3 linked regions of the Arabidopsis thaliana genome follow. The protein of the gene in region 1 interacts with the protein of each later gene in a biochemical or structural test. Each region holds a gene or a part of one and is shown in the gene's direction. Other genes may lie near its edges. The genes, in order: ARR3, AHP5 and AHP3.

Region 1 (4,583 bases):
CTTGGAAGGCATAGCGAACGAGGAAGTGGTCCACGCGGTGTGGCTGAGCATGAGCGAGGTGGTCCATTATCGAGGTCCAGTTGGAAGTATATCTCGATTTGAGAATTCCCTTTACAAGCGCTGCCCAAACTGCTGAAGTGTATCCACAATCAAAGAAAAGGTGTTCCCGGGTTTCGAGGTTACCTTGACAGAGAATGCAGTCCGTTGTAACGTCTCCCGACCATTTAACCATGCGATCTCCTGTTGATAGCCTTCTATGGACTGCAAGCCAAGTACAAAAAGCGTATTTCGGGGTTGCATGATCTTAATCATCATTTTCATATCATGTTTTGTAGAACTCTTAAATTGGACTATCTCGATCTCTACCTAATCCACTGGCCGGTTAGCTCGAAACCTGGTAAATACAAGTTCCCTATAGAAGAAGATGACTTTTTGCCAATGGATTATGAAACAGTTTGGTCTGAGATGGAAGAGTGTCAGAGACTCGGAGTTGCAAAGTGTATAGGAGTAAGCAACTTCTCATGCAAGAAACTCCAACACATCCTTTCAATAGCAAAAATCCCACCTAGTGTCAATCAAGTATATTTAAAATTCTCTCTTATTTAATTTATCAAATAAGTTCAACCTTTTTTTTATAAGAAAATATTGGATTGGTGAAATAATTTGAAACATTTGTTTGTGGATAATGTGAAAAAGGTGGAGATGAGTCCAGTATGGCAACAGAGAAAACTGAGGGAGTTATGTAAGTCGAAAGGCATTGTTGTGACAGCTTATTCGGTGTTGGGATCGAGAGGAGCGTTTTGGGGAACTCACAAAATCATGGAGTCTGATGTTCTCAAAGAAATTGCTGAGGCAAAGGGAAAAACAGTAGCTCAGGTACTCTCCAAAGACAGTTTTAAAATTATTTACGAAAACATTTTTAAATTTCTTTTAACGTATAAATATTAAAAAAAACAGTCGTAATTTAAAGGAAAATTTTGTTAATTACAGAAAATATTTTAACAAATCGGTAAACAAAAGTCATTGTTATATTCATTTGAAAATTAGTTTTATTTTTATTGTGATAATGGCTAAAACTATCTTTATGCGATATTTAATTTTGGACTATTGACTTATTTATTTGTTTGATACATTTTTATATTGTGCACTCACTCTCGTTGACCCAAAAAAAAAAAAAAAAAAAACTCACTCTTTAAACGGGTAATAGAGTGATGTGGAGAAGTTTTGGGGAATGAAAGTATTTAAAGCTCATTTTTAGAGTTGTAATAGACAATTGACTAGGTGAGTATGAGATGGGCTTACGAGGAAGGAGTGAGCATGGTGGTGAAGAGCTTTAGGAAAGACAGATTGGAAGAGAATCTGAAGATATTTGATTGGTCTTTGACAGAGGAGGAGAAACAGAGAATCTCGACGGAGATTTCTCAGAGCAGGATCGTTGACGGAGAGGTTTACATCTCGGAGAAAGGTCCTATAAAATCTGTCACCGAGATGTGGGACGGTGAGATCTGATCACTATGTGTGAATTATGGGGCAGTTGTAATATAATGTCTTGATTATTTAGTTTGTAAAGTTGCATTAATTTGTTTTGTTAAGTTGCATTTCCAATGTATAACCTTCATAAATGTTGTAGTTGTAAAATAAATGTCTTGATTATTTAGTTTGTAAAGTTGCATTTCTAATTTATAACCTTGAGAAATGTTTCTTCTTATTTTTTTCTTTTGTGAATATGCAAGTCTTTTAAGAGCAATTTTGAGTTTGAAATGTTTCTCCTTTTCTTTTATCTTTTTTTTTTTTTTTTTAATATTTAAGCTTCTTTCAAAGCATGTTACATGGACCCCAAAATCTTTAAACATCTAAATTAATCACATAATGATATGTACAATATCTTGTGAAAAACCTCTGTTCATCATTGCGATAAAGTCTTTCTGAACGGGATTTCTGATAGAAAACGAAAGCTTGATTTTGGATTTTATGTTTCTTTCACTTTGTCTATAAACCTTTTTATTTACTTGTTATGGTTTTGGTCATCATATTTTATGATGGTCTAAGAGTTTGTATTTATAAGTGGAGACAAGACATAGCTATGCATTAGATTTTTCTTCAAATTAAGCTCAAGGGTCCATCAAAATAGAGAGAAGAAAATAAAAATCATTTTCTGAACATAGTAAATGTGTTTTTAACAACAACAACAACAACAACAAAAGCATAGTACATGTGAGAAACAAAAAGACGAATTTGAACATTAAATCAGTAACATACATACCAAACAACCCTTGTTATGGGTTTGGTTGGTAATCCAAGTATATCTATTTAGTACCAATCCTAAAAGTAAGAAGAAGCAAAACCGGTACTTTCTATCTATATCTTATCATGAACTTCGAATTTATCTTTCTTTACCTATTCAGATTAGTTCGCTATTTCTTGCTGCCCCCATCCCAAAAAAGAAAAAAAGGTACGTACCGTTTTGTGTCATTAATCGTCACTTGGAATAAGAAAATATTTTGTAAAAGAAATGAAGTAGAAAATGATCCACCTATAAAAAGATTTGATATAGAAGAGTATAACAACGAAAATATAAAACAAAGTAGAGAGGAACTAGTAGCAATATCTCTCTTCTATCTTTTCATTTCCTACTCTTTTCTCACTATGGCCAAAGACGGTGGCGTTTCTTGTCTACGAAGGTCGGAGATGATCGGTATAGGAATCGGAGAACTTGAATCTCCGCCGCTAGATTCTGATCAAGTCCACGTTCTCGCCGTTGATGACAGCCTAGTTGATCGAATAGTCATCGAAAGATTGCTTCGAATCACATCCTGCAAAGGTTTCTTAACTAGTAATTCTTCCTCTTTCCCCTTTAACATTTTAAAAGCCTTATTCTCCGGCGATGATTCAATGCAGTCACGGCGGTTGATAGCGGATGGCGTGCTCTCGAATTCTTAGGATTAGACGACGACAAAGCCGCCGTCGAATTCGATGTAATCTCTCATAACTCTGTTTTAAAACATTTTGAGATTCTAGATTCTGATCTTGATCTTTATTTTTACCAGAGATTGAAGGTGGATTTGATCATCACTGATTACTGTATGCCTGGAATGACTGGATACGAGCTTCTGAAAAAGATTAAGGTTTCTGAAATTTTCCCGCCATAAAAACAAATTCTGTTACTTTTTTTTTTTTTCAATTCTTGATTTTCTTAAAAAACAGGAATCGACAAGTTTTAAGGAAGTTCCTGTTGTAATTATGTCGTCGGAGAATGTAATGACTCGTATCGACAGGTCAAATCTCTCGCCGGAATCTTTTTTTTTTGATTCCGATTTTGGTGATCGGAAATTTAATCAATAAATCTGTTGTAGATGTCTTGAAGAAGGTGCGGAGGATTTTTTACTAAAACCGGTGAAACTCGCCGACGTGAAACGTCTGAGGAGTTACTTGACGAGAGACGTTAAAGTCGCCGCCGAAGGAAACAAACGGAAGCTGACCACTCCACCGCCGCCGCCTCCGCTCTCAGCCACATCCTCGATGGAATCTTCGGACTCTACGGTGGAATCGCCTCTGTCTATGGTTGACGATGAAGATTCGTTGACAATGTCGCCGGAGTCTGCAACTTCGCTTGTGGATTCGCCGATGAGGAGTCCCGGATTAGCTTAGAGAGATCCGTGTGATAACGATCTCCGTTAACTTTTTACTTTTGACGGTTTTATTGACTGCAACGTTGACTTGAACGCCGTCAGTTTATACTTATAGATCTCTCTCTCTCTTTTTATATCGTTGCACGTGGGGTCTCTTTGCTCACGAAGGAACTTTTATAAAAACAAGTATTGTATTTATTTAATTACGTATATTTGATAATTTTAAAATTAAATAATGTTTCTATTTCTAATAATATCATAATAATCAAATAATGTGTGACAGTTTACCTCTGTGTATTCATATCGTCTGCTAATCACTTTTGAGATTTTGCCAGCGATTAGCATTTATTTGATAGTATGATATCCAATAATGTACCGACTTGAGGATACTTTTCTTTAATCTATAGTCTTTGATATTAAGAACCAAATCTTGTATTATTATGATATATTTTTGAAAATGTACTCTCAAATATTCCGCATGGCTTCTATGAATATTTTCAACTACTTACTCTAGCTACCACTAATTTTTGTGTGATAACTGTCTATTAGAGAAGACTACACAAAATAGTAATAAAATCATTTGCAAACTACACATACTATTGAAACTCGGCTTGTAATATTTACACCTATAATAACTAACAACTTATGTTGAACATGTTGGTGGTCTTTTTAATTTTAATCATTGAATAGGTAGTGGCTAAGTTGGTGACTACGACCACATATTTCACAATCACATGTCGCTAAACCATGACCATGTGGTCACGCATGCATGGCTACGAATTAGAAATGAAAACGGTTGAATAACCATGGTATTATGGGGATTAATTATGATTCATATGAATCATATCTAACTCAAGGTTATGTGGTCATGCATGGCTACAAATTAGAAGAAATAAAATGTTGTCCAAATACATGTAATCATGGGGATTATGGATTCATATCTAATCTTAGGAG
Region 2 (4,691 bases), about 21 Mb from region 1:
GAAACGTTACCCGCAAACCGCGGGCAAGTCCTGTAACTTGGGAGGATCGGGGGCCATGTAACAGGCGAGCGTATCTCTCCAATTTGCAGCCTTATTACAAGTGTGGAGATCGATGTTGCTGTAGTAAAGCACATCTCTAGTGTGATCCCTAGAGTAGAACCGTTTCTTCACTTCCGGGTCCTGCTCGTGAAACCTGCGAATCCCTTCTTTCATCCTCTCCATCACCTCCACCGAGATCCCATGATTCACCACCTGGAAGAATCCCCATCTCTCCGCAGCGTCTCCAATCTTCTCCACCACGCTCCGCCGCGATATCAAATCCATGCTTCCTCCTTTCAGATCCACCGTGGGGATCGTCAGCTGCTGCGAAGGTGGTGCTGTTTGTTTCAGGCTTGTTAGAGTATCCGGAGGTGTATGGAACATGGCTGGAATCTCTTTGATTCCCGAAGCCACAAGCCCTTTCACGCCGGTTTTTGTCTCGTCGAAAGCTTTTGCTTGACTTGAACGATCACTTGACTCCATCTTGCTTCTTCTTTCTTTTTTTTGCAATGCACAGATTTGCATAAGTGCTATTATTCCACATCTTAATGCACATCTTAATACAATTAAATAACAAAAGGAATCGTGACCCATATTAAGATAACAAATAAAGAAATGAATCGCCAAAAACAAGGTCCATTAGTTTATTTCAATTCCTATATTAAAATTTGGATTCTTAATTGGTCGTTTGTCTTTACAAGTAAGAATAGCATCCGGTTTGAACTTTTGTTAATTAACTACACACTTACCATATTAAATCTCATCGCCATTGTTGCTCGCCTAGCTCTCGAAACGCCACTAATTAGCAAAACAACATTTAAAGATATCTCGTTTGGAGGACTTTGGACAATCGTTCCGCTACTGTTCATTTTCTCTCTCTTTGAAGTTTTTTCCAGTTTTTACAGATCTAGTTTTTTCTGCCTCTGTTCTTCATCTTAGGTTATGAATTTGCAAGACAAAGCAGGAGTAAGGCAAGCTATCTTCTCCGGCATTGGAGTGGTGTGGTTTTTCCGGTAAGCGTGGCAGCGGTGGCCCTTTCTCGGTGGATGAGAGGCTTCTCTTCCGTTTCTTCCTGGTTATGGACGTCGGTGGAGATCGGTGAAGTCTTTCTTGGTTCAACCACTTGGTTAGACGCTGTAGCTGTGGCGGAAGACGCTGTGGATTGGTGGGTTTTCAGTGCGTGTTTGATGGTTAACAAACTGGATCTGAGATGGCTGTTGCGGGTTCCGGTTGCTGAAGGGTTGTCTGAGCCATCACCCTTCTTTAGCCTCCGTTTTTTGTCTCCATCAATCCGGATTGAAGGTTGCTTTGCTTTTGGAAAATTTTCAGATCTAAGGTTTTGGAGGTCAGAGGCTTGGAAATGCGTGGTCGTTTTGCGAGGTTGGGGACTCGACCAAATTGGGTGGCGGAGTGTCGGAAACTGGGTTTTTTCCGTTAGGTTTGTTGCAGGTCCGGCCAGCTCATTGGTAAGAGATTTGCGGCAGGACTCGTATACTTCGGCCAATGATCTCGTTCCGGTGGTTGTGTTGCAAAGTAGTGGGCCTTGTATACGACGGTACTAATAGATCTATTTGCTGCCTCCGTTCCACTGCCCAAATCCACCTCTGGTTCTCTTTTTCCGGTGACCGGATTTTTCCTGTTTTGTAACTGTGGACGATTGTAATTCCGGGCCTAAGCCCAATTGGGACTGGACCTTTTTTTTTAAAAAAAAAAAAAAAAGATATCTCGTTTGTGGAGAACGCATGCTAGCAACTTCCCTATCTATAAAATCAGATTTGCACCCCACAAACTAAAATATTATTTACGTACTTGATTAATTCCTACAATATAGTCATTTACAAAAATAACCCTCCATTTGATATTTAAGTCAAAATCAGTCAACGGAACGTGGAATAAATTATAACTTTCGACGCTCCGATCAGATTCATCATCATCTCTCTCTGTGTCGCTCCGATTTTGAATTTGGAATCTCTTAGTTAAGTTGGAAGTTTGTTCTTTGGTCTTTTCGCCTAGTTGTTGTTGGATCTGTTTTAAATTAAGCCAAAAACCTCCGATTAGATCGATCTCGGAACCGTCGAAATACAGTTCACCGTATCCGTTGTTTGTTTTTGGTATATGTATGTTTGAGAAGCTCTTACCATCTTTGTTTACAAGTCTGGTTCTTGGTAAACTTTAGCTATGAACACCATCGTCGTTGCTCAGTTGCAGAGACAATTTCAAGACTACATCGTTTCTCTTTATCAACAGGTTCGTTCCTAACCAAACTTTTCTTACTTTGGCTGGATTCTCACTTTTGGGCTTAGATAAGCTTAAGGTGCAGTTATGTGTGAATTTGAATTTTTTTATTTTTTTTATAAAGATGATATAATATGTTGTTGTTTTGAAGGGATTTCTGGATAATCAGTTCTCAGAGTTGAGAAAGTTGCAAGATGAAGGAACCCCTGATTTTGTAGCTGAAGTTGTCTCTCTATTCTTCGACGACTGTTCCAAGCTTATTAATACCATGTCTATATCCCTGTAAGCTTTGCTTACTCTCTTAGGCTTCTCTTTTTTATCTAACATGGGACTTTGTCTCTAATCCTCCTTCATATTCATTTTTGAGGGTGTAAATTAGCTTCATATATTCATGACAGCATTTTATGAGTTTATTATAAACATTAGGGAGCGGCCAGATAATGTGGATTTCAAACAGGTGGATTCAGGTGTTCATCAACTCAAGGGTAGTAGCTCCAGGTTTGTCACAGTGAACACTGCTAAATTTGCTTTTCTAGTTTTAAGTGACCAAACTACATTGATTTTAATGGCTCAGTCTCTGCTTTGTACTCAGTGTCGGTGCAAGGAGGGTGAAAAATGTGTGCATATCTTTCAAGGAATGTTGCGATGTTCAGAACCGTGAAGGGTGAGTATATTTTTTAGCTTGTTGATGCAAAATGTTATTGGATCTCTAAACTTTTTTATTATATGAGAAGCTATTCTTCTAATTCACACACAAATTGTGATAATGATATCTGGCACAGGTGTCTAAGGTGTTTACAGCAGGTGGATTATGAATATAAGATGTTAAAGACTAAACTTCAGGATCTCTTTAATGTGAGTTTTAAACTTTGCGAAAACCTACTTGTTCTGCTTGTGTATTCTTTTTACTGAGCCTTTTGCTACTTCTCATTCTTCTGTTTCTGTTATGTTATGTTGTTGCAGTTAGAGAAACAGATCCTCCAAGCTGGAGGTACAATTCCTCAAGTGGATATAAATTAGACCGATGCGTTTCTCGATTATGCAAATGTTCAAGGCTGATGACACAAATGAAACCGAAACTCCTCTGTAGTTTTGTTGTTGTTGTTATGTTTTATATTGATTAATGAGGTTCAGCAACACTGTCCCTGGCCAGATATCGTGTCTTGTTTAGACTCTTAATTGAGTTCTAAGAGTAAAAATTGAATTATTAGTCTATAAATAGACATGTCCATATGTATTCCTGTCACAATGCAACCACCATTTGGAGCCTTTGTTCTGACCATCATGACTTAGAATTCTCAGCATTATTCTGAATCTGATATACTCTATTGGATTCATGATTTTGATTTGAGCCGTAAAGCATGCGGGTACTAGTTAGCACTTTAGACGATTTCATTATGTGTGGATTAATCAAGAATGATTTGTTTGAATTATGGATAACACGATTCCATGGTCTCTTTATTTTGTTAACGGTATTCCATGGTCTCTTTTATCAACATTATTGTTATAGGGCTTATAAGACATGATTGTGACAATAGATTGAGAAAGGATTGGGCATGTCTTGTTAGGTATGTATTTAATATAATGTCCGAATTACCTCAAACTAGGAATGAAATAAAAAGAAAATGTCGAAGAATTATCAATAGATTGTTTATAAGTGGAATAAAAAATGTGAAGCCATGTGTCTATGGTAATCACTAGGTGGAGCATTTTTTTTTTTTTAAAGGAAGAGTATGTGAAGTGAAAGAGACTAATGAAACATAAATTGAAGGCATGGAGGCGTGTAATGTAACAAATAATAACAAAGCTTTTCTCCTCTATCCTTCATTTTATCATATCCATCTTCATCATTTTTATTTCTCTCAACCAATGTTTTTAAAATAATTTTGTAATATCCTTATAACATGGTTGGTTTTAGGGTTCTTCATGAAACCGATTCAAAAGTCAAAGCAAATCTTATATCGGTTACTATGTGATCTTACCTTCTATGGAGAGAGGATTCGACGACACACCAAACAAACACAAGAGTCCCAAAACGAGTGCGTTAATTGTCTCGTAGTGCGGACCATCTTAGGGTTTAGACCTTTTTAATTTTGTTCATTATGATTGGAACGTATTGCTTTGGCTTTCTTGCAAAGCCAAGTTTTCTTTTCATAAATCTAATTTGGTCTACTCATCACTACCTAGTCTCTCTTAGAATGAATACTAAATCATTTTTATTATGCATGGTTGGTATATGTGAATCAGTAGCGAATCATTATTTGAAACGTATTTAGATGTACGCTATGAGTTAATTATTTTCAGAAAACGGTAGTTACACTTATGAAACTAATTAATGCACATCAAAAGTAGAGACAATCTGCTAATATACGTACACAAGGCAAAAGATTGTACAGTAGAGGTATATATCGAGCTAT
Region 3 (4,695 bases), on another chromosome or scaffold:
TTCCTATAAATTAATTAATGGAATATATTTCTTCTAGATGTTAAGTGTTGAACATTCTTAATTCTCTCTCTTTACGAACAATAGATATGTTCTAGAGCAATATCATGGAGTTGTACGTGGTGTTATGATGATTTCTACACGAGGCATTTATCCTTGACGGACAAGTTGCAATTATTTTCCTCCATGATATTCAATTTTTGGGATGGTATTTTCATTCTCCACAAATGTTGCATCTATGAGATCAATATGCATGCAAGATCTCTAATTAATGGTGTGGTGCATGGTCTGCCCTCCCAAAGGTGGATCTTTATCTTTTGTGTTGTGATAGTAAATTTGTATATATATATCTAGTGTTTAAAAATTTGCTAAGCATGGGGTGATCCAATACCTACCTATTAAAAACGTTTAATCCGAACATAGCTACACACGGACCGAATGTTCTTTTTTGGAGTTTTTTATAATTTTATTAAGATTTTGGGACATTTAGATCTCTTTAAATTAATATTTACTAAATTAAAGAGAGTAGTTAAGATCCTTACCAATAAACGAGAGAGATGTTAAGATCCGTCTCATCAAAAAAAGAGAAAGATTTTAAGATCCAAGTCAGGTCACTTTTTTCTTTGGTATTAATCTCACAACTCAATTCTCAACTCAACTCAGGTCACCAAGATTTAACACTTATAATTTTACACTTTGTTTTCTTAATCATTATATACTATCCTAAGCATATATATGAATCTTTCACCATAAGTTATACCATTTATATATGCTAATATTTTCTAAATAAACCTTACAAATTTGTTGGCGCTAACAACCATTGTTTAATTTTGCTTGGGGTGGCTCTAGTTATATTATATAGACCTTAATTTTGCAGGAGGTATGTAACACCTCATATTGCTTCAGCTTAGCAATTCATATATAGCCAAGACGTGTGGACTTCTCACCCAAAGTTTCCTAGTTTAAATGTGAATGCCTCTAAACAAAAGTTCTTGCTTTCGATGTCTAAACTTAGATGTGTTACCGAATAAAGCCAGATTTACCTCCTTTGACCTTACTATATAGCCAGCTCGCTGCCTCCGCAACTCTCAAAATGACACTCGCGATCATATTAGTTGTTTCCAACAAATTGAAAAATAAAACATTTCACTCAAACAAAAAAAGATCTAAACAGCCGAAAAAACAAGTCCAATATCAAAATCTGTTATAGCAAAAAAAAAGAAGGTAGAGTATTTTGGTAAGAAAGAACTCTAAATGCCTCTACGATATAATATTAATAAGTATGTTACCAAACAACTTAATATTAGTGCAAAAAACCCTTTAGTTTGTCATAAACAGCAAAATCTGCCACTATAAGTTGTTTTCATGAGGTCAAGTTGATGAGAGTATATGATTCTCTGAAGCTCATGTCAAAAGAATAGAACCAATGTTCTTCAGTCTTGTCCACACGGTAATGCTTCAAATGAACTTGTCTATAGAGAATCTTCCAGCGTGAGAGATTCTTAGTGTTGGTGGATTGACATAACAGAAACATACCTAACATTGGAAAATGCTAAAAACTTTGAGTGAATGAATGAATGTATCAATCATGAATTAGAGATTCCATTTTTTATGGCCTAAATCAATGTTTCTCACTTGTAAAAGTTGTCTTTTTGACAACTAATCATATTCTAATTCTTTTTCTCTGCCCTTTATGGAAAAGCTTTGTGACTATTTCTTTATTTATTTCTGTCCAAATTTGATGATCTGTAAGAATCTCTTTATTGGGATTGCAATTTCAAACAAACTTTACATCTTCTTCTTCTCTCTGCTTTTGCCTTCACGACGAGTAGAGAGAGCCATGGACACACTCATTGCTCAGTTACAGAGACGATTTTGTGATTTCACCATTAGTCTCTATCACCAGGTAAATTTTAGCATCTCTCCTTAGAGATTCAGGATAAAAGTGATTAACTTTCTTGTGAAGAGAACTTAGAAATTGTGGTTGAGTTTTAAAGTCTCCTTTTTAGAGATGGCTCTCCACAGTCTTTAGGGTTCTTATTGAAGCTTTTAAATTGGAAACTGGGGATTTAAGAGTTAGGTTTACTGATTGTGAAATGGGTTATTGTCTCCATTTTCAAAGTCGTCTCCTTTCAAAGTGATTACTTTTCTGGTGAAGCAAACTTTGAATTTGTGGTTACGTTTTTAGGGTTCTTATTGAAGCTTGTATATGGCAATTGGGGATTTTGGGAATTGGGTTTAGGGTCTGTGAAATGGGTTATTGTCTCTTTTTCAAAGTTGTCTTCTTTTTAGGGATGACTACTCTCTACTGTTTTTAGGGTACTTGGAGCTTGTATTTGGAATTGGGAATTTTGTGAAATGGGTTTCTGAGATTCTTTGTGTTGGTTTTGTAAAGGGGTTTTTGGATGATCAATTCACAGAATTGAAAAAGCTGCAAGATGAATGTAGTCCTGATTTTGTGGCTGAGGTTGTTACTCTCTTCTTTGAAGACTGTGAGAAGCTTATCAGTAATATGGCTAGAGCTTTGTAAGTTTACTTTTCTTTTACGAGTTTAATCATCAAAAGCTAGCAGATATGGTTTAATGATTGGTTCATATGTATACTCAGAGATCAGACAGGAAATGTAGATTTCAAACTGGTAGGTTCTAGTGTTCATCAACTCAAAGGTAGTAGCTCAAGGTATGTCACATTTGATCTGTATAGTCTCGGTCCTTTAGTCTAATCTCGGATCTAGTCTCAGTGAAGAGCTCCTTTCTTGTTGTTCTATGAAGTGTTGGTGCCAAGAGAGTCAAAGGTCTTTGTGTTACCCTCAAGGAGTGTTGCGACTCTCAGAACTATGAAGGGTAAGCTTTTGTTTTCCGGTTCTTCTTTAAGAGAATCTCAAATTTCTGCTATGTTCATTTGATTGTTGAAACTAATTTGGGAAACAATCTCTGTTATAGGTGTGTGAGATGTTTGCAGCAAGTGGATATTGAGTACAAGACATTAAAAGCAAAGCTTCAAGATCTGTTCAATGTGAGTGAAAAGCTACGTGAATTGTGTCGGTTTTTTGCTTTCGAATTTCGTGAATAAGTCTTGCATTGTTTTGTTGCAGCTTGAGCAACAGATTGTCCAAGCTGGTGGTAGAATCCCTCAAGTGGATATATAAACAATAGACCTATCGACAACAGAACAGCAAGATGATGATCATCCAGTTGCATTCTTCAGACGAGTACTACTCGAATTTGTTGCTTCGAAAAAGAAAAAAAACTCTTGAGAATGTGTGGAAAAGAGAGGTGATTGTTGTTCATAGATCAATACTATGTATCTTTTGTATCATCATCTCTTGAATCTTGGTACTGATCTTATCTGAATAGTATGAATTTGCATCTCATAAGACCATATGAACAAGAGTGAGTTATGTATTCAAAAACAGGAATATTTCCAGACACAGAAGCATCATAAGAAGCAGAAAATTCAAGGAGAGCTACACAAGACAACGCGCAAAAGAATAGACTCTGAAAGCAAAAAGCTTCACGAAGACATTGGCAAAAGGAACAAACCAAGAACAAACACTCACAAGTGTCCCCTGTGAAAGCTGAAACCTAAAGTTAAACCCATCAGCTAATGTTAAGAAAGAAAACGTCACGCAGTTCTCACTGTGAAATACAAAACGTCAACGCAGTCTCACTGTCAAATACAAACGTCACGCAGTTCTTACTGTAAAATAAGAAAACGTCAAGCATTTCTCACTGTAAAATACAAACGTCACGCAGTTTGGTTAGATATGTCGTTGCTTTTAAAAAATTGCGACCCAATAGATTTTTCAACAGTCGTTTTTTTCTTTAAATGAGTGAAGTTTTGCGCAGAGCCAACAACGCACTTAGTAGCGTCAAGCAATACCAATCTCTCTTGAATCACTTTGCAGCTACTCAATCAATTTCAAAAACCAAAGCTTTACACTGCCACGTCATCACCGGCGGTCGAGTTTCCGGCCACATTCTCTCGACTCTCTCCGTAACTTATGCGTTATGTGGTCACATCACTTATGCACGGAAGCTGTTCGAGGAAATGCCTCAAAGCTCTTTGCTTTCTTATAACATTGTTATTAGAATGTACGTGCGTGAAGGATTGTATCACGATGCGATTAGCGTGTTTATTAGGATGGTTAGTGAGGGGGTTAAGTGTGTTCCGGATGGTTATACATACCCTTTTGTTGCTAAAGCTGCTGGAGAATTGAAATCGATGAAATTGGGGTTGGTTGTTCATGGGAGGATCTTGAGGAGTTGGTTTGGTAGGGATAAGTATGTGCAGAACGCGTTGTTAGCGATGTATATGAACTTTGGGAAGGTTGAAATGGCGAGGGATGTGTTTGATGTGATGAAGAACCGTGATGTGATTTCGTGGAACACGATGATTAGTGGGTATTATAGGAATGGTTATATGAATGATGCGTTAATGATGTTTGATTGGATGGTTAATGAAAGTGTTGATCTTGACCATGCTACGATTGTTTCTATGTTGCCTGTTTGTGGTCACTTGAAGGATTTGGAGATGGGGAGGAATGTTCATAAGTTGGTGGAAGAGAAGCGGTTAGGGGATAAAATTGAGGTGAAGAATGCGTTGGTGAATATGTACTTGAAATGTGGTCGTATGGATGAAGCGAGATTTGTTTTTGACAGGATGGAACGAAGGGATGTGATCACGTGGACTTGTATG

The links.
Region 2: the proteins of ARR3 (region 1) and AHP5 form a complex in vitro, tested with the Arabidopsis thaliana proteins (one study listed by BioGRID).
Region 3: the proteins of ARR3 (region 1) and AHP3 form a complex in vitro, tested with the Arabidopsis thaliana proteins (one study listed by BioGRID).

Annotation. Positions count from the first base shown.
Region 1 is NC_003070.9:22,064,959-22,069,541, reverse strand, and holds ARR3 (response regulator 3), read left to right. Parts: upstream 1-2,308; 5' UTR 2,309-2,370; coding exon 2,371-2,821; intron 2,822-2,898; coding exon 2,899-2,975; intron 2,976-3,047; coding exon 3,048-3,125; intron 3,126-3,204; coding exon 3,205-3,275; intron 3,276-3,353; coding exon 3,354-3,648; 3' UTR 3,649-3,925; downstream 3,926-4,583. Other genes in the region: AT1G59950 (NAD(P)-linked oxidoreductase superfamily protein), read left to right, coding at 336-579, 697-876, 1,282-1,509. UniProt on the Arabidopsis thaliana protein: Functions as a response regulator involved in His-to-Asp phosphorelay signal transduction system. Phosphorylation of the Asp residue in the receiver domain activates the ability of the protein to promote the transcription of target genes.
Region 2 is NC_003070.9:845,942-850,632, forward strand, and holds AHP5 (histidine-containing phosphotransfer factor 5), read left to right. Parts: upstream 1-1,851; 5' UTR 1,852-2,217; coding exon 2,218-2,286; intron 2,287-2,425; coding exon 2,426-2,556; intron 2,557-2,700; coding exon 2,701-2,772; intron 2,773-2,866; coding exon 2,867-2,938; intron 2,939-3,056; coding exon 3,057-3,129; coding exon of another isoform or gene 3,130-3,186; exon of another isoform or gene 3,187-3,237; coding exon 3,238-3,294; 3' UTR 3,295-3,680; downstream 3,681-4,691. Other genes in the region: 2A6 (2-oxoglutarate (2OG) and Fe(II)-dependent oxygenase superfamily protein), read right to left, coding at 11-633. UniProt on the Arabidopsis thaliana protein: Functions as a two-component phosphorelay mediator between cytokinin sensor histidine kinases and response regulators (B-type ARRs). Plays an important role in propagating cytokinin signal transduction through the multistep His-to-Asp phosphorelay.
Region 3 is NC_003076.8:15,747,104-15,751,798, forward strand, and holds AHP3 (histidine-containing phosphotransmitter 3), read left to right. Parts: upstream 1-1,627; 5' UTR 1,628-1,690; coding exon 1,691-1,903; intron 1,904-2,392; coding exon 2,393-2,523; intron 2,524-2,604; coding exon 2,605-2,676; intron 2,677-2,768; coding exon 2,769-2,840; intron 2,841-2,939; coding exon 2,940-3,012; intron 3,013-3,091; coding exon 3,092-3,145; 3' UTR 3,146-3,788; downstream 3,789-4,695. Other genes in the region: AT5G39350 (Tetratricopeptide repeat (TPR)-like superfamily protein), read left to right, coding at 3,826-4,695.